Linked DNA regions of Drosophila melanogaster. The protein of the gene in region 1 interacts with the protein of each later gene in a pairwise test. Each region holds a gene or a part of one and is shown in the gene's direction. Other genes may lie near its edges. The genes, in order: CG11327, Drsl4, CG32579 and Galk.

What was found.
Region 2: the proteins of CG11327 (region 1) and Drsl4 interact in a two-hybrid assay, tested with the Drosophila melanogaster proteins (one large-scale study listed by BioGRID).
Region 3: the proteins of CG11327 (region 1) and CG32579 interact in a two-hybrid assay, tested with the Drosophila melanogaster proteins (one large-scale study listed by BioGRID).
Region 4: the proteins of CG11327 (region 1) and Galk interact in a two-hybrid assay, tested with the Drosophila melanogaster proteins (one large-scale study listed by BioGRID).

What each region holds. Positions count from the first base shown.
Region 1 is NT_033779.5:6,684,326-6,688,663, reverse strand, and holds CG11327 (uncharacterized protein), read left to right. Parts: upstream 1-1,951; 5' UTR 1,952-2,101; intron 2,102-2,164; 5' UTR 2,165-2,169; coding exon 2,170-3,597; 3' UTR 3,598-3,822; downstream 3,823-4,338. Other genes in the region: Tsp (thrombospondin), read left to right, coding at 1-1,410, 1,467-1,600, 1,669-1,739.
Region 2 is NT_037436.4:3,313,772-3,316,470, forward strand, and holds Drsl4 (Drosomycin-like 4), read left to right. Parts: upstream 1-1,848; 5' UTR 1,849-1,865; coding exon 1,866-2,081; 3' UTR 2,082-2,171; downstream 2,172-2,699. Other genes in the region: Drsl2 (Drosomycin-like 2), read left to right, coding at 604-816; Drsl3 (Drosomycin-like 3), read left to right, coding at 1,263-1,478.
Region 3 is NC_004354.4:16,321,433-16,325,629, forward strand, and holds CG32579 (uncharacterized protein), read left to right. Parts: upstream 1-1,853; 5' UTR 1,854-2,035; coding exon 2,036-2,265; intron 2,266-2,341; coding exon 2,342-2,497; intron 2,498-2,646; coding exon 2,647-2,777; intron 2,778-3,016; coding exon 3,017-3,169; intron 3,170-3,223; coding exon 3,224-3,633; 3' UTR 3,634-3,688; downstream 3,689-4,197. Other genes in the region: CG9917 (uncharacterized protein), read right to left, coding at 616-1,521.
Region 4 is NT_037436.4:8,981,700-8,988,052, reverse strand, and holds Galk (galactokinase), read left to right. Parts: upstream 1-1,961; 5' UTR 1,962-2,076; intron 2,077-2,236; exon of another isoform or gene 2,237-2,634; intron 2,635-2,744; exon of another isoform or gene 2,745-2,821; 5' UTR 2,822-2,827; coding exon 2,828-3,000; intron 3,001-3,066; coding exon 3,067-3,240; intron 3,241-3,385; coding exon 3,386-4,119; intron 4,120-4,316; coding exon 4,317-4,521; intron 4,522-4,579; coding exon 4,580-4,766; 3' UTR 4,767-4,949; coding exon of another isoform or gene 4,950-5,330; 3' UTR 5,331-5,841; downstream 5,842-6,353. Other genes in the region: CG5068 (uncharacterized protein), read right to left, coding at 10-321, 659-768, 828-1,026, 1,095-1,168; CG13314 (uncharacterized protein), read right to left, coding at 4,950-5,330.

The sequences.
Region 1 (4,338 bases):
GTTCATGTGTCCGGATGGAACCGTTTGTGACCGCAATGCCGTGTGCCTTAGGATGGATAACATCCGCCACAAGTGTCACTGCAATGTGGGATGGGCGGGCAACGGTTTGATTTGCGGTAGGGATACCGACGTAGATGGATGGCCAGATCAGGCAATCGGTTGTCCAGAGCTGCGCTGTCAGCGAGACAACTGCCCGAAGTTGCCTAATTCAGGCCAGGAGGACGCCGATCTGGATGGACATGGCGATGGGTGCGACGACGATGCCGATGGCGACAATGTCCAGAACAGCCAAGACAACTGCTGGCTGGCCTACAACACCGAGCAGCTGGACTCGGATGGAGACAAGGTGGGCGATGTGTGCGACAACTGCGTGCTTAAGTACAATCCCAGGCAGTTGGACACGGACGAGGATGGACTGGGAGACGAGTGCGATGGTGATATCGACAACGACTCCATACCAAATGCGCTAGACAACTGTCCGCTGCTGCCGAATCCCAGTCAGTCGGACGTGGACAACGATGGTGTGGGCGACGCTTGCGATAACTGTCCGAATCTTCCGAATCCCGACCAAAAGGATCGCGACATGGACTTTGTAGGCGATGCCTGTCACAGAGACATCGACGGGGATGATGATGGAGTTCCAAACTCGCTGGACAACTGCCCAATGGTCAGTAACTCGGACCAGCTGGACACTGACGGTGATGGAACGGGCGATGAGTGCGATGACGACATGGACGGAGATGGGATACCCAACTACAAGGACAACTGTCCGCTGGCCAAGAACCCAAAGCAGGACGACTTCAATCGGAATGGCAAGGGTGACTCTTGCGAAGATGATGAGGACGTAGATGGTGTACCGAATGGCATGGACAACTGCCCGAACAACTCGATGATTCATCACACTGACTTTCGCACTCTTCAAACCATTCCACTGGATCCCAAAGGCCTATCGCAAGCGGATCCCAACTGGGTGGTACACGCCAATGGCACCGAGATAGTCCAGACCCTCAATTCGGATCCGGGACTAGCGGTGGGCAAGGACGCCTTCGGAGGCGTTGACTTCGACGGCACCTTTTATATCAACGATGACACGGACGATGACTACGCTGGCTTTGTGTTCAGCTACCAGAGCAGCTACAAGTACTACGTGGTGCAGTGGAAGAAGGGCACCCAAACCTACTGGGAGCCACGACCCTTCACCGCCTCTGCGGCGCCGGGCATCCAGATCAAGCTGGTCAACAGCACCGAGGGTCCGGGCCCAATGATGAGGAACAGCCTGTGGCACGAGGGAAACACCGACGGTGAGGCCAGGCTGCTGTGGAAGGATCCGAAGAACATTGCGTGGAAGGAAAGGACCTCCTACCGCTGGTCCCTGGTGCATCGACCGGCCATCGGCCTCATCCGCCTGCAGTGAGTGATGGCACCATGACAGGGTTCCCATGTCTTCATTCTCCTTCTACCCACAGAATGCACGAGGGTAACCGCCTGATCTTCGACTCGGGCAATGTGTTTGACTCCACGCTGAAGGGCGGTCGGCTGGGCGTGTTCTGCTTCTCACAGAGGATGATTATATGGTCCAACCTGCAGTACAAGTGCAATAGTAAGGGAAATCGAAACAAAGTGGTAACTTCAACTGAACTAAACTTTTTTCTATGCTTTTCAAAACAGATCGTGTGAAGCCGCTGATCTACAATGATCTGTCCGACTATCTCAAGACGAAGGTGGAGTTGCAGGACTGAGGGGAATCGCAATCCTCAGAGCCATTAACGTCTTTTCTGCCATCAATTCTAACCAAATTATGTATTAATGCTACCACTAAGTTAATAAATGAGTTGCCAATCCAGTTGGCCATTGGAGCCGCGTTTTCCAACACAAAAATGAACTGAATCAAGTTGGCCTGGCTGCACGTGAAATCAGGAGACATTGCCTGTCAATCCATTTAGTTCAATTGCCACAGTTAGGCGAACACACTTTCGCTAGGGAACGTTTTGATCACCGAAATAAGGGAAAACCCATGTTGAAAACATTGATATAATATTTCACGGATGTCGAACTAGTTAACCAGGTTAAATTCAGTCAGTCTTGCGTAAATTTATAAAGGGTAAGTTGGAGCACAGTGCTCTACCAAATTGTGCTGACCTCATTCATTTATGCGTCCAAATAGCCACGATGGCCAGCCGCAATGTGCAAGCAACTCCATCCCAGGAAGAGCTGAAGCGGACTGAGAACAACAAGAATGTGAAAAACTCCGAAGAATGTCAATCAATGGAAAACGATGTGGACGCGGTTGTCCCATCTTCGTCGGAGAGTGAGCTGCGGCCTCGCAGTTCGGGAGTTAGGCCCACTAAAATTCCGGCTCCACTTTTCTTGGGACCCAGTGCCAGCAGCCGGATCTACAGTTCACTGATGCCCGAGAGAAAGCGACGCTCCTCCATGGAAAGTCAACAGATGGCCGACGATTCTGGCATCAATTTGGATTGCTCCACGGACGAGCAGCAGACTACGCTGTCGGCCAGACCGAGTCCAATGCTGCAGCCGATGCTCGACAGGATTCCGGACACTAGCAGCGAGTTGGAGCTCCGACTGGCAGAGGAGCAGACTCTCAAGGAACTTCAACGCGTCGTCGCCGAAATGGAGGCTGATGTGGCTTTTAATAATTTAGATATGCAAAATCTACTGCCCGATGATATTGACCAGGATACACAGGTGCAATATGACGCCACTGATGTGGATACACAGTTGCAAAATGAAGCCTCTGATGTGGAGAATGGTGCCGAGTCTTCCGGACTAGATATGGAACAGCTGACAGGAAACGATATTCAGCAGGAAACACTTCCTGAAACACAACCCGAAGAACTTATACCAGGAAATGTACAGATGGTGGAAAAAGAAATTGCACCGAAAGGGGAATTTCCAGAAATAAAGGAAACTGCCGTGGAAATAGAATCTTTAAAGGAATTCGAAATTGTCCAGCATTTGGGCGAAGAGCCAATAGATGAACACACAGAGATCGTCCAAGAGACCCCGCAAGATCCTACAGACGTAGAATCCGAGAAATCTGTACCCGAATCGGATATGGAGGAACTCGAAACGTTAATTAATGAAAGTAGCGAGTCCGAAGAGGACAGGCTTGTTCGTGAACAATTCGAGAAATACCCTGAAACATTGGAGCCCATGTTTCATCCAACGGCGGATGAGATTGTGTGCATTGACTCGGTCCCGGAACTGGCCGACCATCCCTCACTAGATGGGTCGGTGCAAAACGGTCGCGAGATGGTTACTTTGGATGAACTATTTGATCCGGAGTACAATGTGCACCTAATGCGCCAACTTTTGCAGGCCAGAATAGAAGAGAATAGCGAAGTTGAAACAGCTCCAGACTTGATAGAAAGTGAGCAAGCGGAAGAAAGGGAGACGCTGACGGGCCCGGAGGCGGAAATCGATATGGAGGAGGAAACGGATCCGGACCTAAAACAAACTGGCAAGCCCTTGAGTTTCTTGAGGCGTCTAGTCAACCACAGAATCCTTAAGCTTAGCTATCCCATATTGTTCTGCAGCTTGGCTTTCAGTTTGGTCTATATAATTCGCAAGGAGTAGAAGTTCACTATTCTAGAAATGCAAATTGGATAATGCGAACTTGCGAGAGCATACGTTTCACTACGGTATATCTTAGGAAACACTTCAAAATCGCCCGACGCATTGGCATAGTTGGGTTGCTTTAAATATCTATTTTCCAAATAAATATCCACAATATCACGGCCGCACTGTTTGTAATTTGTATAATTTGTATGTATATTTGAATTAAAGCGCCAATTACTTAACATTCTTTTTGAAACGAGCGCTAGGTGGCGCCTTTGTCAGGTCATACTCTTGTTGGCTAGGGCAGGGTAACGGTTATCGATAACCGGAAACTGCACCTGCCCGTTTACTGTTTTCCCGGAATAATTACCGATGGAGGAACGGCGGAATTCTAAACATGGGGAATTTTTTATTTATTTTTTTTTTTTTGAATGTATAGAGGAATCGTGAAAAATAGCAATGATACGAACTTACAGATCTAACTATGTCGGTGGGACACGGAGAGACTGGTCGGCGGGACTAGTACTAGACGACGGGAAAGAAAATTAATAAATGAAAAGGCTAATTTGACGCAATTCCCGGAATAATAGTTTTTACTTGGAAAATAGTTTGGGATTATTGCAAGTTTTAGTTTTACATAACTATTATATTGAATACAAATATCTTTACTGAACCGCTCCTGTTCAAAGGCAATATTTTTTCGCGTGCTAGCGTGCGGTCACACTGCAGTCGCATACGGTTGTTTCCATATGAACGAAC
Region 2 (2,699 bases), on another chromosome or scaffold:
TACACGCATTTGTGTTTGTGTATGGTTAGACATAGTCCCTAAATCTTAGTAGTTGTAATGCTATATGTAAATGTTTTTACCACAACCGAGAACCTAGTTTCTATTTAATTTTAATCGTATCGAACTTTATAATGACTATACATTTAATGCAAACATCATGTATTATTTTATGATCTGCATTAATTTTCAGATGTATATGTTTGTAAATAAACGCCAAACATAATTAGACCAAGCGAACTAACTGTATACAATTTGATAAAATGCCTCTTTGGAGTCGAAATTTTCGATACAATCAGGGGTCACTGGTACTTCCTGATTCCCTGATTCATTTTATCGATTGCAGCAATGGGCAAGATTGCGAGCTCTGCCTCGAGTTTCTTGGAAGCTTATCGAATTCAGATAGGAGCACATGTGTGACATCAAAGTTGAGGCACCTAGCCACTGAGCAAATGCATCACAAAAGATTTTGAAACGTGCTAAAAAAGATTATTGGAAATGCATGGAGGTGGTGTAGTCCTATATAAGCGTCCCCACAAGCTGTCGATACCAAACGTCTTCGAGAACTCAAGTAAAGTACCAGACTCGTTCGGAACATCAGTTGCAATGGTGCAGATCAAATTCCTTTTCGTCTTCCTGGCTGTGATGACAATTGTTGTCCTGGCCGCCAATATGGCTGATGCCGATTGCCTTTCCGGCAAATACAAGGGTCCCTGCGCCGTCTGGGACAACGAGATGTGCCGACGTATTTGCAAGGAGGAGGGACATATCAGTGGCCACTGCAGTCCCAGCCTGAAGTGCTGGTGCGAAGGATGCTGAATCCATACTATATCCATTTGAAATGTGTATATTGAATATTTCATTCTAAACAAATAATATATAAATATAAAGGCCTCTTACGCTTATCACTCATACGCACTGTTGTCTTTTAATTTCCTGTATGGCAATGTGTTAGGAGAAGTGAATGTTTACATACATCATTAAATCGAAAAGATAGCAATTCTAGGTAAATAACTTATTATGATAACGATGCATTTTTAAATCAATGAAGTTGACACATGGCACACATAAATCAAGTGTTTCTGGAAAACTAGGATTATATCGGTTATTGTTAGCTTGAATTTCCGAGAAGCTTATCGATTGCTACGATCAAATAAAAAATCTTAAAATCTGTATCTCTATATAAGCGTCCCCACGAGTGGTCGATGCCAAAAGTCTTTAAGAACTCAAGTAAAATTCCCGACTCGTTGAAAACATCAGTTGTCATGGTGCAGATGATATTCCTGTTTGCTATCCTTGCTGTAATGACCATTGTCCTAATGGAGGCCAACACTGTTTTGGCACGTGATTGCCTATCTGGAACTTTCGGAGGTCCTTGCTGGGCCTGGAGTGGAGAAAAGTGCCGCCGTCTCTGCATTGAGGAGGGACATGTCAGTGGACACTGCAGTGGCGCAATGAAGTGCTGGTGCGAAGGATGCTAGATCCACTGCAGTTCAAAAGTGCATGCTGTTTTTTTGTTTATTCTGAGCCAATAATAAATATACTGTACACCGCACAGTAAAAGGCACGTAAGCATTGCCTTTCAGGAGTTATCTCTTGATTTGATTTAATATGTATGTGGTAAGTATATTAAACAAAAAGGTGCATCAACATCAAGAAGGTATAGCAATTCTATCATCCCAAAATAGCGATGCGCGTTTTGTCGCGTAAAAGGCCCAAAAGTATGCCTTTCGAAAGTTATATTGCAGTTATTTGCATTTTCACCTTTATGCTAATCGGTTAATATACAAATTCTGTACCTATATAAGAGTGCAGTCGGACTCAAGAAACTCAAAAGTAAAGATTTTAACCAGAAGAACATTCTAATAATGGCTCAAATTAAAGGATTGTTTGCTCTCCTCGCTGTGGTGACCATTGTCCTAATGGTGGCCAACTCGGCTTCGGCCGTGGATTGCCCATCTGGAAGATTCAGTGGTCCTTGCTGGGCCTGGGATGGAGAGCAGTGCCGTCGCCTCTGCAGGGAGGAAGGACGTGTCAGTGGACACTGCAGTGCCAGTCTGAAGTGCTGGTGCGAACAATGCTGAGGATCCTCATCGTCCAATATGTTTGACACATATGTGTGTCATATGTTTTTTATTGTTTTGAAAAGAAAAATAAAGAATATACTTCACAGCAAATAATACAGTTTTATTTCTACTTAAAGAACGAATCCTTTTAAAATCATAAATTTACTTCGAAAATGAGATTTATAATGGAATGGAAGAAATAATTAAATGATAAATAATCAGAGTTAACTTCAATAGAAAGCTAAAATTCATTTAGAAAGAAGTGGAATATATAATTCAACTCATAATAAGCATTTAAGAAAAAAAAAGCATAGACTATTTCAGTCTTAACAAGAGTTGGAAAGGCCATTTTCATTTATGAACACAAATCTTCATTTACCAGCACCCATATCACTTTATGGGAAATAAAGATAATCTTGTCATGTTAATATTTCCAACAAATTATCAACCGTGTTACATCGAAAAGTGCAAGTTTGGTGTTTGAATCCGGTTCTGGGTTTTCCTAACAAACTCGACAGTTTTACAATTTATGAATAAATTTAATTAATGAAACTGGTTTAATTAGTTTCCTAGAAGTCTCGTGATAAATGGCACATTGCATAAAATCAATGTCGGCAGATTATTAATAAGCCATTT
Region 3 (4,197 bases), on another chromosome or scaffold:
TTTTACATTTATCACTTTATTATTACAATAATGATACGTATATTCATTTACAAAACATATCCATTCATTGTTTTTACATATATAGCATTTCATTTCCCAAACCCATACCCGATCCACTATGAAATAGTGAGATTACCATTTGCCTCCCTCAGTGAATTTAAATGAAAGAGATTAATACAAACCCAACTCGAATCAGAACCGCAAGCCACGCCATTTCATTAAACGGAAATAAAGCATTAGATAAACGCATGACAAAGGCCAGAAGAATTTCTGATTCAGAAGTAAAACTAGAAGGAAGTATAAGCATTGTTTACAATACTACATACATACATACATCAATTGGCAATTAATTACATAAATTAGAAGCACCAAACAAAAACGATATGGCTGGCTAGCCTGGAGCAGCAGCACCTTGGCATGCTTATCCCCGAAAGCGGTTGAACTATGGACACCTGTTCCACGGCTACATGCATATTAATATAAGCGAAGCAAAAGCTTAAAAACAGTGATTATCGTGCTCTTTGATTAATCGCTTTGGAATGCCAAAGTCAAAGCGTTGAGAAGGCGTTTTACAGATTCGGATTCGAGATATATAGCGGACGCCCAGACTTAGAACTAAGAAGACTTTTGTAGAGCGAATCGCAGGATTAGCAAAAAGATGCCCACATGGGTCCACACTTGATGGAATACCCGACTCCCTCCGCTGGCGGCAGCCGCAACGAGCGGCGATTTCTGATTGTCACGGCACATCGTTTGGTTCCGAATGAAGTTGAACATGGACTCGACGAGATTCGCCGGTGTTATGTCCGAGCATTGCTCCAGTTTACGGACCACACACGCCTGCAGAGTCAGCATCTCGTCGCACTGTTTCTGACCGACCGTCAGCTTGGGCATGCTCCTGATGCGGTTGTCCTGCAGATCCGACACGTTCAGGTACTCGGAGAACGTGCTGTTCACGCACTGCTGAATGTTGTCCTTCTGGGACTCAATGCATTCGGGTCCCTTTTCGGCAATGAACAGGGCTATCTGATCGCCATCCTTGTGGCACACAAAGTTGAGCAGACTCTGGATGATCTGCTTAATGACATCCTGGCCCTCGCGCTCCTCCTGCACCAGACAGGGCACCAGTTTGGCCGTGAACGCATCCACACACTCGACGGCATTCGAACGCCGGCTGCAGTACTTGTTGAAGACCACATCCAGTTCGCCCTTGGGCGACGCTTCCTGTATCTCCTGCTGCATTGCCGTGTAGTTGACAATGCCATTGAGGCACTCGGTTAGCACCATGAATCCGGACTCGATCTCGCCGTATGCCTCGACGCCCGCCTCCTCGCCGGCCACCTCGATGCATTTGTTGCGAAATAGCTCCTTGGCGTCGTTCACGCTAAAGTTTGACTTCCTCAGCTGGTCGGGCAGCTGGGTCTGGATCTGATCCAGGTCTAGCTGGGCCATTATGCCGGCAGTGGCGAATATAACCAGCCAAATGGCGTATATCGCATGGCTTACATATGTCCTGTGCATGATGTTTGCTGTATTTTTTGCACTCCTCTTTGTCTTTTTGCTTGCCTCCTCTTCCGTTATTCTCCTTTGCTCTGGTTTTTAAGCTCTGAGATTTGCACTTTTGTTTGTGATTCTATGCGCTTCAAGCAAACATATTTGTTCGTTTTGCGAAATATGCCTATGCCTTTGGGCAATTGGAAAAAATTAATTTAATTAGGAAATCACTGGATGGAAATCCCAATTGGAGATTCTATCCCACCCGTCGGCTAGAGATGGCACTTCGTCGATGACGCTTTCGATGCAACAGCTCACTATCGGCTTTCCGCCGATAAAAGCGTACGATCGATCTATCTCTAGTTCAAATGAACAAGTTCTCGTAGAATTCAGTCTTTATTCTAATCTTCAGTGTTTTGTTTTTTTTTTTAGTCGAAAACCAGTGTCAGCAAGTTGAAGGCGAGAGTAGTTTGGAGGTCGAGGCCTTGGATATTTGTGTGTGGCTAGGGTGGCACATGTGCAATAAGGAGGCGGAGGAGACATGGCCTCCGCGGAGCAAAGAACCGAAGTGGACGCCCTTATGATGGGGCCGATCTCGAAACTAAGCATGCTGCTCACTGTGGTGTCCATTCTGTGGCGCTTCGTCTCGATTTGCATCAACTGGAGCCTGGCGTACGTGTACTGGATGGAGGAGTCCTACGGATACTGCGCCTGGACCATTGGCTCCATTCTGGTGCCCATGGTGGTCACATCGGTCATATATATACATACGTATGTGACATATCGCGATAGCGTGTACTTCCCCCGAAATCTACAGCTAAACGATAAATTTGTATTTGAATTTCAGCTTGAAGAGCGCTCATGCCGGCGAAAAACGCATCCTGGAGCGAGGGGTGTACTCAAATGCTGTGATCTCATATCTCTTCCGCGATGTCTATGTCCTAAACTATGCGTTCAAATACTCGTTGGCCAAGGAGCGGGATGACAAGCAGGCGGAGATCGAGTGAGTAATGCTAGTGTCAGTGTATAAAACTAGTTAATAGTAGCTTAATGCCCTAAATGGTAGTACTGCCGTTTAGTTTATCTTCTCTTTTCATCATAAGTGAGCACTTTAGAATGTTTATAACGAATATCTGAATTCTTATCTTACAGATATTACCAAAAACTCATGACGGAGGAGTGCAATGTTAGTTTCGTTCGTCTATTCGACTCGTTTTTGGAATCAGCACCGCAGAAAATACTACAGCTGGCAATTCTTTTGCAATCGACATTGGAGTTCACATGTAATACGATATTAATACTACATTAGTGCCATATTTCAATCTCTCTCTCTCTCTGCCTTAATTAAGATAACTAATGCATAAGTAATTTAAGCTTATAAACACCAAATTCTGACGTTCACTTTCGCAAATCAAAGTCAGTTTAGGCGTTTAGCCTAACTCATTGATTGTAGCCAACGAAAGTGAAACTCGGAATGGAAAGTCGATGGATGCCATTTACCCATTCAAATTTCTTTTCCCAGACTACCGCCACATCGCCCTGATCGTCTACTTCGGCAACATAGCGTGGTGCATCCAGGCGTACAATCACTCCAATCGCCTGGCCCAACTGGACAAACATGATATTGCGGCGAAGGGACGATTTCTGCAATTTCTCTTCCTGCTCTGCCTCACTGGTTAGTAGTAGTTAGTTAGCTGTGTTGCTTAGAATGTGTATATTAAGCTTTTAGTTATTCGCTTTTATTTCGTAGTTTCGAGAACGCTTTGCATCGCGTATGTGGCCAGTATTTTTCCCATCGAAACGCTGATCATCTGCGCGACACTGGCTTGCTTTTACGGCACCATTGTGTTCTTTGTGGACTCGCCAATGATCGCAAAATCCCGCCCCATGAACTATTCGTACTGCCTGTGCTTTGGCGTTGTCTATCTATTTATTTTTACGCCCGTCAAGGATGCACCAACCAAATATAAGTACGCCTTCTATCTCACATTCTGTTTGTTGCAAAATATCATCGCCTGCGCTTTGTACATTCCCTTGTATCTTGCCACAGCCATCATTGCCTTGTATATTGTCGGAATTGTTCTGTTAATAATCTACTACACGTACTGCCATCCAAATACTGTGCGTACTTATTTTTAAAATTCTAGCATAATTAGTAGCATTTTGTATATTTGCAATAAACGTTGTTATGCCCACTTGTGATGCGCCTTTGATTTTCAATTGGCTTAAGCTGGTTTCAGATCTAATCTAATATCTAATATGCATTGTGTTTTTATTAGAGGATATATACATACATACATACACACATATGTATATGCAAATTTGATTTCATTTCTAGATTTTCTATCGATATTTGACCATCGATTAACTGATAGTTAGGTTTTAAATTTAGTTAGAACTTTTCTTTGTAGCGGAACATCAACTAAAGGATATATATAGATATATATAATATAAATGTGAACTATATGAATTGAATGTGACACAATATAGTCGCACATACATATATATGTACATACATCTATGTTTGTATTTAAGTGTCATTAAAAAGATGTCATATTTATGTGTTAATCCCGTGTACTTAATTTGAAGCGCTTACTAAATATTTTTCAAATGCAATGCCTTTCTGTTCAACTAGTTCCCAAATATTGATCAGCAAATGCATCATAATTGAATCGATCATTCCAGATGCGCATGCGCAACGCG
Region 4 (6,353 bases), on another chromosome or scaffold:
CCTACTCACTTTATTATCTGTCCCGGCATGGACACTTTGGCGCTGTCCACATTGCGCACTTGGCCGCTTCGGATGCACCACTCGATAGCATTCGGAATACTCTGGAAATACTTTGGACGGGAGCGCAGAAAGCTCTGCATGCTGGCTAGTGCCTCCATGGCTGTGCCCTCCACAACATCGATGACGGTTATTCCAATCAAATTGGGCACCAGAGCCATGTGGGCAAAGTGGACGGCGATGGCGCCGCCCATCGAGTGGCCAACCACAAAAAGCTGCGGCACTTCTTCAGGATAGAGCTTCAGGATTAAGTCACCGATGTCCCTGTTTAGAATATTTTAAACATTATTATAGATTATAGATTAGATTATTATGGTTTTTAGCTTCAACCGTGAATAAAGTAACTATAAAAAACTAAATAATATTTACAAATGAGTGATCGTTCAAATAGATCGACCTACTTTAAGTGCAGTGCGCTATTTTTATAAATAAAGAGATTATGCAAGTTTAGCCTAATCGTTCATAAAGCTAAGAGTTAATGCGAGAAGTTTTACTCGACAAAATCTTAAAAATATTGGTTTTTAATGTAAGCAGTAGAAAAATTTGCATAACCATCTCTAAAACATATTTTGAGAACAATATTTTTTTGGATTCAACTCACTTAGCCAACGTATCAGCGGAGAGATCGTCCTCGTCGTCCACCTTGCTGTCCCCATGACCTCGCATATCGATGCACAGGCACTGGCAGTGGATCATGCTGGTCACCTCAGACTTAAATGGATATATGTACATGTTAAGACTATTTAACAGAATATATCGCATTCACTCACACAAAAGTGCGCCCAGGTGAGGGCAGAGTAGCCACCGCCGTGGAGCAGAAGGAGAACTGGACCCGGCTTCTCCGGTTGCTTGGTGCGATAGATGCGGAAGGTGCGTTGCTCATCCACCGTGACGTCCTCCTTCTCCGCAAAGAATTCGTTCCACATGCCCGGCTTGTAGTCGCGAATGCGCGACTTCTTGAACGAGTCCCTGTAATTAGCCAAATTGGGTAGAGATTGCGTACTCCCCACTCCAGTCGCAGAATACCCTGCACTTACGCTCTGCCAATGCGCCCGCCAGGAATTGTGGGTGGCAGCTTGCCCTTCAACATCGTGCGCTGTAAACTCGACATTGATCCGATTGTCTTCGCTGTGGGGTCAACAGGTGGTGCTCCTACGGTGCAGGTGCAAGTGGTTATTCACACAGTCGTTGCTCGCAATTATCCGTTTTCGAAAACAAAAAAATAGTTCCAATTCAACGAAGAAGTATTGCAGTGTGACCGTAATCGAGAAAACCGTAACTGACGCCAGCTGGCAGCGCTGGTTCAAGAGCTGCACTTGGCAATGCCCTTGTCTGGCAACGCCTAACCGCAACAGTCAACATTTCAAATTCCAAAACGGATATTTTAGGCTTTTGCAATCAAAGACGAAAATCCGTACCATACTGAAACAACAACAGTTGTATATTTTAATGTTTGTACATTTTAATCAATTAAGTATTTTAAAAGTTTATCTACGAAAAAATTGATGAGCTCCCCGAAACACTTGTACCTTATCAGCTTTGTAAATACTTCACATTAATGGCAAAATAATAAGCAAGGTAATAACCTTTCGCAAAGTGGATGTCAAAACCACTTTTTAAAGCAGACAAAATTTGGAAACCAGTTTTTTAGAATGCTAACAAGAAAGAATTCATATGCTATGAAGATGTTTGACCCATTTAACGGTAAAGACAGCTAGTTATAAACTAACAAAGCTCTCAACAAGTTCCTACTGATACACACAGTGCAACATCGCTAGCTGGGAAACTGGTGTTCTATAAGGTCTCCGAGCATTTATATTTCAGTAATGCTACTGATAAGGAAGTATCACTTTATTGTTCATAGTATTCCGGACTAAGCAAAAACGGAAACGGAACGGGCCGGATTGCTCAGTTGCTTGATGGAACGCGACGTGCTCACACCGAAAACTAGAACTCCTCTCTGATAAGACGGCACCAAGTTAATTTGACCTCAAACAGAGAAAGATAAGGCATTGTTGGGTATGTATCGGCAAAAGTGTAAAAATCTTGACAAAATCCTTTATATCTGTGTTTATTCTGGTATGTAAACAAAAGGTAAGCTCAATACAGGTTAAGTTTATGGTTTCGAGATAAGATAAATGTCATGTTTGTCATTAATGGTCTATTTAGATTATGCGGCAGTAAGTTTAAGCGGTAGTACTTTTGAAAAACAATTACCAGCTAAGAACTTTATTGCCAAATAATTTACTATTAGTTGGGACTAGACATAAACATCAATTTCGCGGATAAATATTCAAAATAAAATCTTTATCCATTGCGCATTTCAAGGGTTAATGCTTCTGCAAGCCTGGCAACTCCTAAATAACAGCTGTTGGCTATAGTCCTCTCGCTCCCGCACACCCTTCCTTTTCATTTACCGGCAGAAATTGCACTTTTGTACTTGTTTTTTGCCCAATTAAGCGGTCAAATTGGCGTCAATCTAATGTTTTAGTGACTTTGATGCCGTTTCCCCAACTGATAACCGCAATGTTAGTACATCACTTTGTGTGCTAATAGCTATTTGGACATATTGATAAGGTGAGATGGGTTGATAAGCTAATTTTTGCACAACCACAGGTGCAATTGTTTTTCCCTTTGCCACGGCTATTTGTTTACGTATGTAAATTTGTTTTTGCCCATAAATTTAGATTAACCAGTTGCGACACGTTTACGGTTCGTCGACTGCGAAAATAATGGGCATTATTAAAGTTTCACCCGCCTGCAGGTGAACATGACTGCCAACGGGAACGGAACTGCTCAGGATTTGGGTGCCGGCATTGAAATCGTGGCCCCACAGAAGCTCCAGCCGGAATCCAAGGTTTACGGGCGCGTGCAGCAATTGACCGCATTTTTCAAACAACAATTCGGAGCGAATCCGGACTTTATCGTTCGAGTGCCAGGAAGGTGAGCAGTTCCACTCGTGGTGCACATCTATAGTCCCTTATCGATGATATCTCCTCCTTCTCCTAGGGTCAACATCATTGGCGAGCATGTGGACTACTGCGGCTATTCGGTGCTGCCCATGGCTGTAAGCCAGAGCATTTTCCTTGCAGTGGCCAAGAATCCTAGTGATAGCCAGCTTCAACTCAGAAATCTCGAGGAAGCGAAGTTTACGGGCTACGATGCCGATCTCAAAACGCTCAGGTGGGTGAATCAGAAACATGATAATTACCGACCTTAAGCACTAGAAAATTTTCCATTTAATTTGTTATAATAACAATGTCACCTTGAAGGCGGTATCTAAACGAATTTAGAAATGATAAGTCCAAATATTTTTTTGCTATTTTAGAATCGAGCTTCCAAAGAGTGGTGGACCCGCTTGGTATAACTACTTCTTGTGCGGCATCAAAGGAATACAGGAGAGTCTGGGCAGCCAGTGGAAGCCCATTGGCATGCGCATTGCTGTGGACGGTAATGTGCCCTTGGCGGCAGGACTCTCCAGTTCGAGTGCCATGGTCAGCTCCGCTGTGTTGGCCACCGCACACGTCCAGGGCAAGAAACTAGATCGCAGGGAGCTGGCTTCCATTTCGGCCATGTGTGAGCAGTACATTGGAACGCACAGTGGTGGTATGGATCAGGCAATAGCCTATTTGGGCAGAGTTGGCTGCGCCCACCACATCGAGTTCCATCCCAAGCTCAAGGGCACTCCGGTGACCTTGCCAGCGGGCAAGTGCTTCGTTGTGGCCAACAGTCTGGCTCAAAAGAACAAGGCTGCTTCGTCGGACTACAATGAACGAGTGGTGGAATGCCGATTGGCCACTAGATGGCTGGCCAAGCGCAAGGGCTTGATCAACTGGGAGGATATTGTGCGCTTCATTGATCTAGAGGAGGCGTGCCAAATGGATAATGAGACTTTCGAGAAGTTGATTAAGGACAACTTAACGAAGAGCAACTACACGCGAGCGGATATCTGCAAGGAGTTGGGAGTCACCGAACAGGAACTGGAGACCAAGTTCCTATCCGCCAACACTCGGCACATGGAGCAGTTCAAGCTGCGTCAACGTGCTCTGCATGTTATTCAGGGTAAGTTAATCATTTACAATCAGGATTTCACATTTAATCTGAATCATTACGTGTACATTAAATTTATTGATCACCAAATGAATAATTACAGTCAATTAATAATACGTTGACATTCATTTGTTGTCCGAAAGATTTAAACTCTTAGCAAATAATATTAAATTGCAAGATCAGTTAATAACATTGTTTCCGCCTAACAGAATCCGGTCGCGTGGCCAAATTCCGGAAAATTTGTGAGGAACTCGCCGGCGGAGCCAATAAGGAAGGTGCAAAACAGCTGGGTGAGCTCATGCGGCAATCCCACGAGAGTTTAAGGGAGCTATACGAATGCTCTCATCCTGATGTAGAGCGCCTGATTGCCATATCGAACCAGCAGAACGTTAGCGCCCGAGTCACTGGAGCTGGGTAAGAAAACCGATATCCTAGTGACTCTATGAATTTAATCAACATTATTCTTTTTCAGTTGGGGCGGTTGTATAGTTGCCATGTGCGATTCCATAGAAGCAGCTGATGAGTACATAAAGGTTTTGAAGCGCGATTACTATGCTCAATTGCCAACACATCTCCTGGAGCGTCATCAGCCCAACAACTTTAGCGAAGTGGTCTTTGCCACTCTACCAGGAAACGGAGCCGAGTTGTATATACAGTGAACGCTTGTGTAGCATTTTAATCCAACTTTTATACCAAAATCATCCTATCAGTCACTATAATCAAACGGTCATTTATAGAAAAAACATTTAATATGTAGAGTACTATGTACAATATATTAACAATTTACAAGCTAAAATACAACAAGGCACGTGGGGAACGGAACTCATCTGGCATCGTGAGTTCTATCTGCTACTCAGATAGCCGGCGTTCTTGAAGAGCTTGTACACCTGTTCGCGCGGTATTTTCTCCGCCTCACGATGTACCACTGCCATTTCCTTCTTCGTGAGCAGTGATTCCTTGGCCAGATTGGCAGCGATCACGGGATCATTGTAGAACCGCGCACTCTTCGACAGCTCAGCCGGCAACTCAGACTCCCACTGGGCATTTCGCACCACCGAGGGATGGGCATCGGCTGTTGCATATCCCTGGTACGGATTGGCCGGTTCGTAAGCGTGCGCAACCGGCAGACCCAGCGCCTGGTGGTAGAAGAACTGGGCCCGAACCGAACTCATGGCCAGAAGCAGGCATCCAGCGAGCAGCGTTACTTGGCAGGCGGTCGGCATGATTGGCTGCTGGAGGGGAGAAAAGGAGCAGGAGCTGGCATTATTGTCCAACGTTCTAATAAAGCGATACGGACAGATTTATTGCCGCTGGTCAGTGGCAGTTTTTAATCTACAAGTCGGCTGTCAGTTTCGTGCGTCATAAATTATGTACGGGAAAATCAATTATCGCATATGGCCAATGGAGTGGGCAACGCGGAGATCTTGGCTCAAACTGTTACAGTTGCTAATCCATGAACTTTTTTGCAACTTGGAACTGGCTTTTTTTTATTGATAAGAATTGGACTGGCCGCGAACTAAATGGCGAGCTTTATTTGTCAAGCGTAGAGTGCTCCAATTTGGTCGCAACAAAGCAATCGTAGCTTGAGATATAAGTACAGTGGTCTCTCTAGAACTCTTTTGAGATTTTAATTGCAATTGGGTAATTTGCTATAAGGATTGGTGAAAATATTATTTTTTATTTTACGTTATAATGACATTATCGAAGATGCATTTACCAAATGTATTAATTAAGAATACGTTAGCAATGAAATTGATTTAAATCATGATCATCCTTTTTAGGCTTTGATATATTCACTTCGAACTGAAACCCTGATATAATCCTTGAAAATGTGACATTCGTTATTAGATTATACACTCTTTAAACCTTTCTACTTTTTAATGATCACAGCCACTGTACATGCATTTTTATTATGCGCCATTAAATGCATTTACATATTCCAAGTCCAAATTGATACGTTGATTCAGCCAAAGTCAAGGTTACGATCCCACACAACCGAATCGGATTTCGGTTCTCCAAAAAGCACCCACTCGCACAAACACACGACACTCACTCACTTTGATCTGGACTTATTTCAACGGCTAATCCTCGAGAGAAGCACTTCAAATGAAACTGGAACACCTGGGTGAAGTTGAGACTGTAAACTGATCATAGAATATCGAGACGGCGAACTTTTATTCGCTTGCCGTTGAATGCCACAAAAACGAGTTGAACTCAAGTCTGTGAGTCAACCGATTTTCGAATCT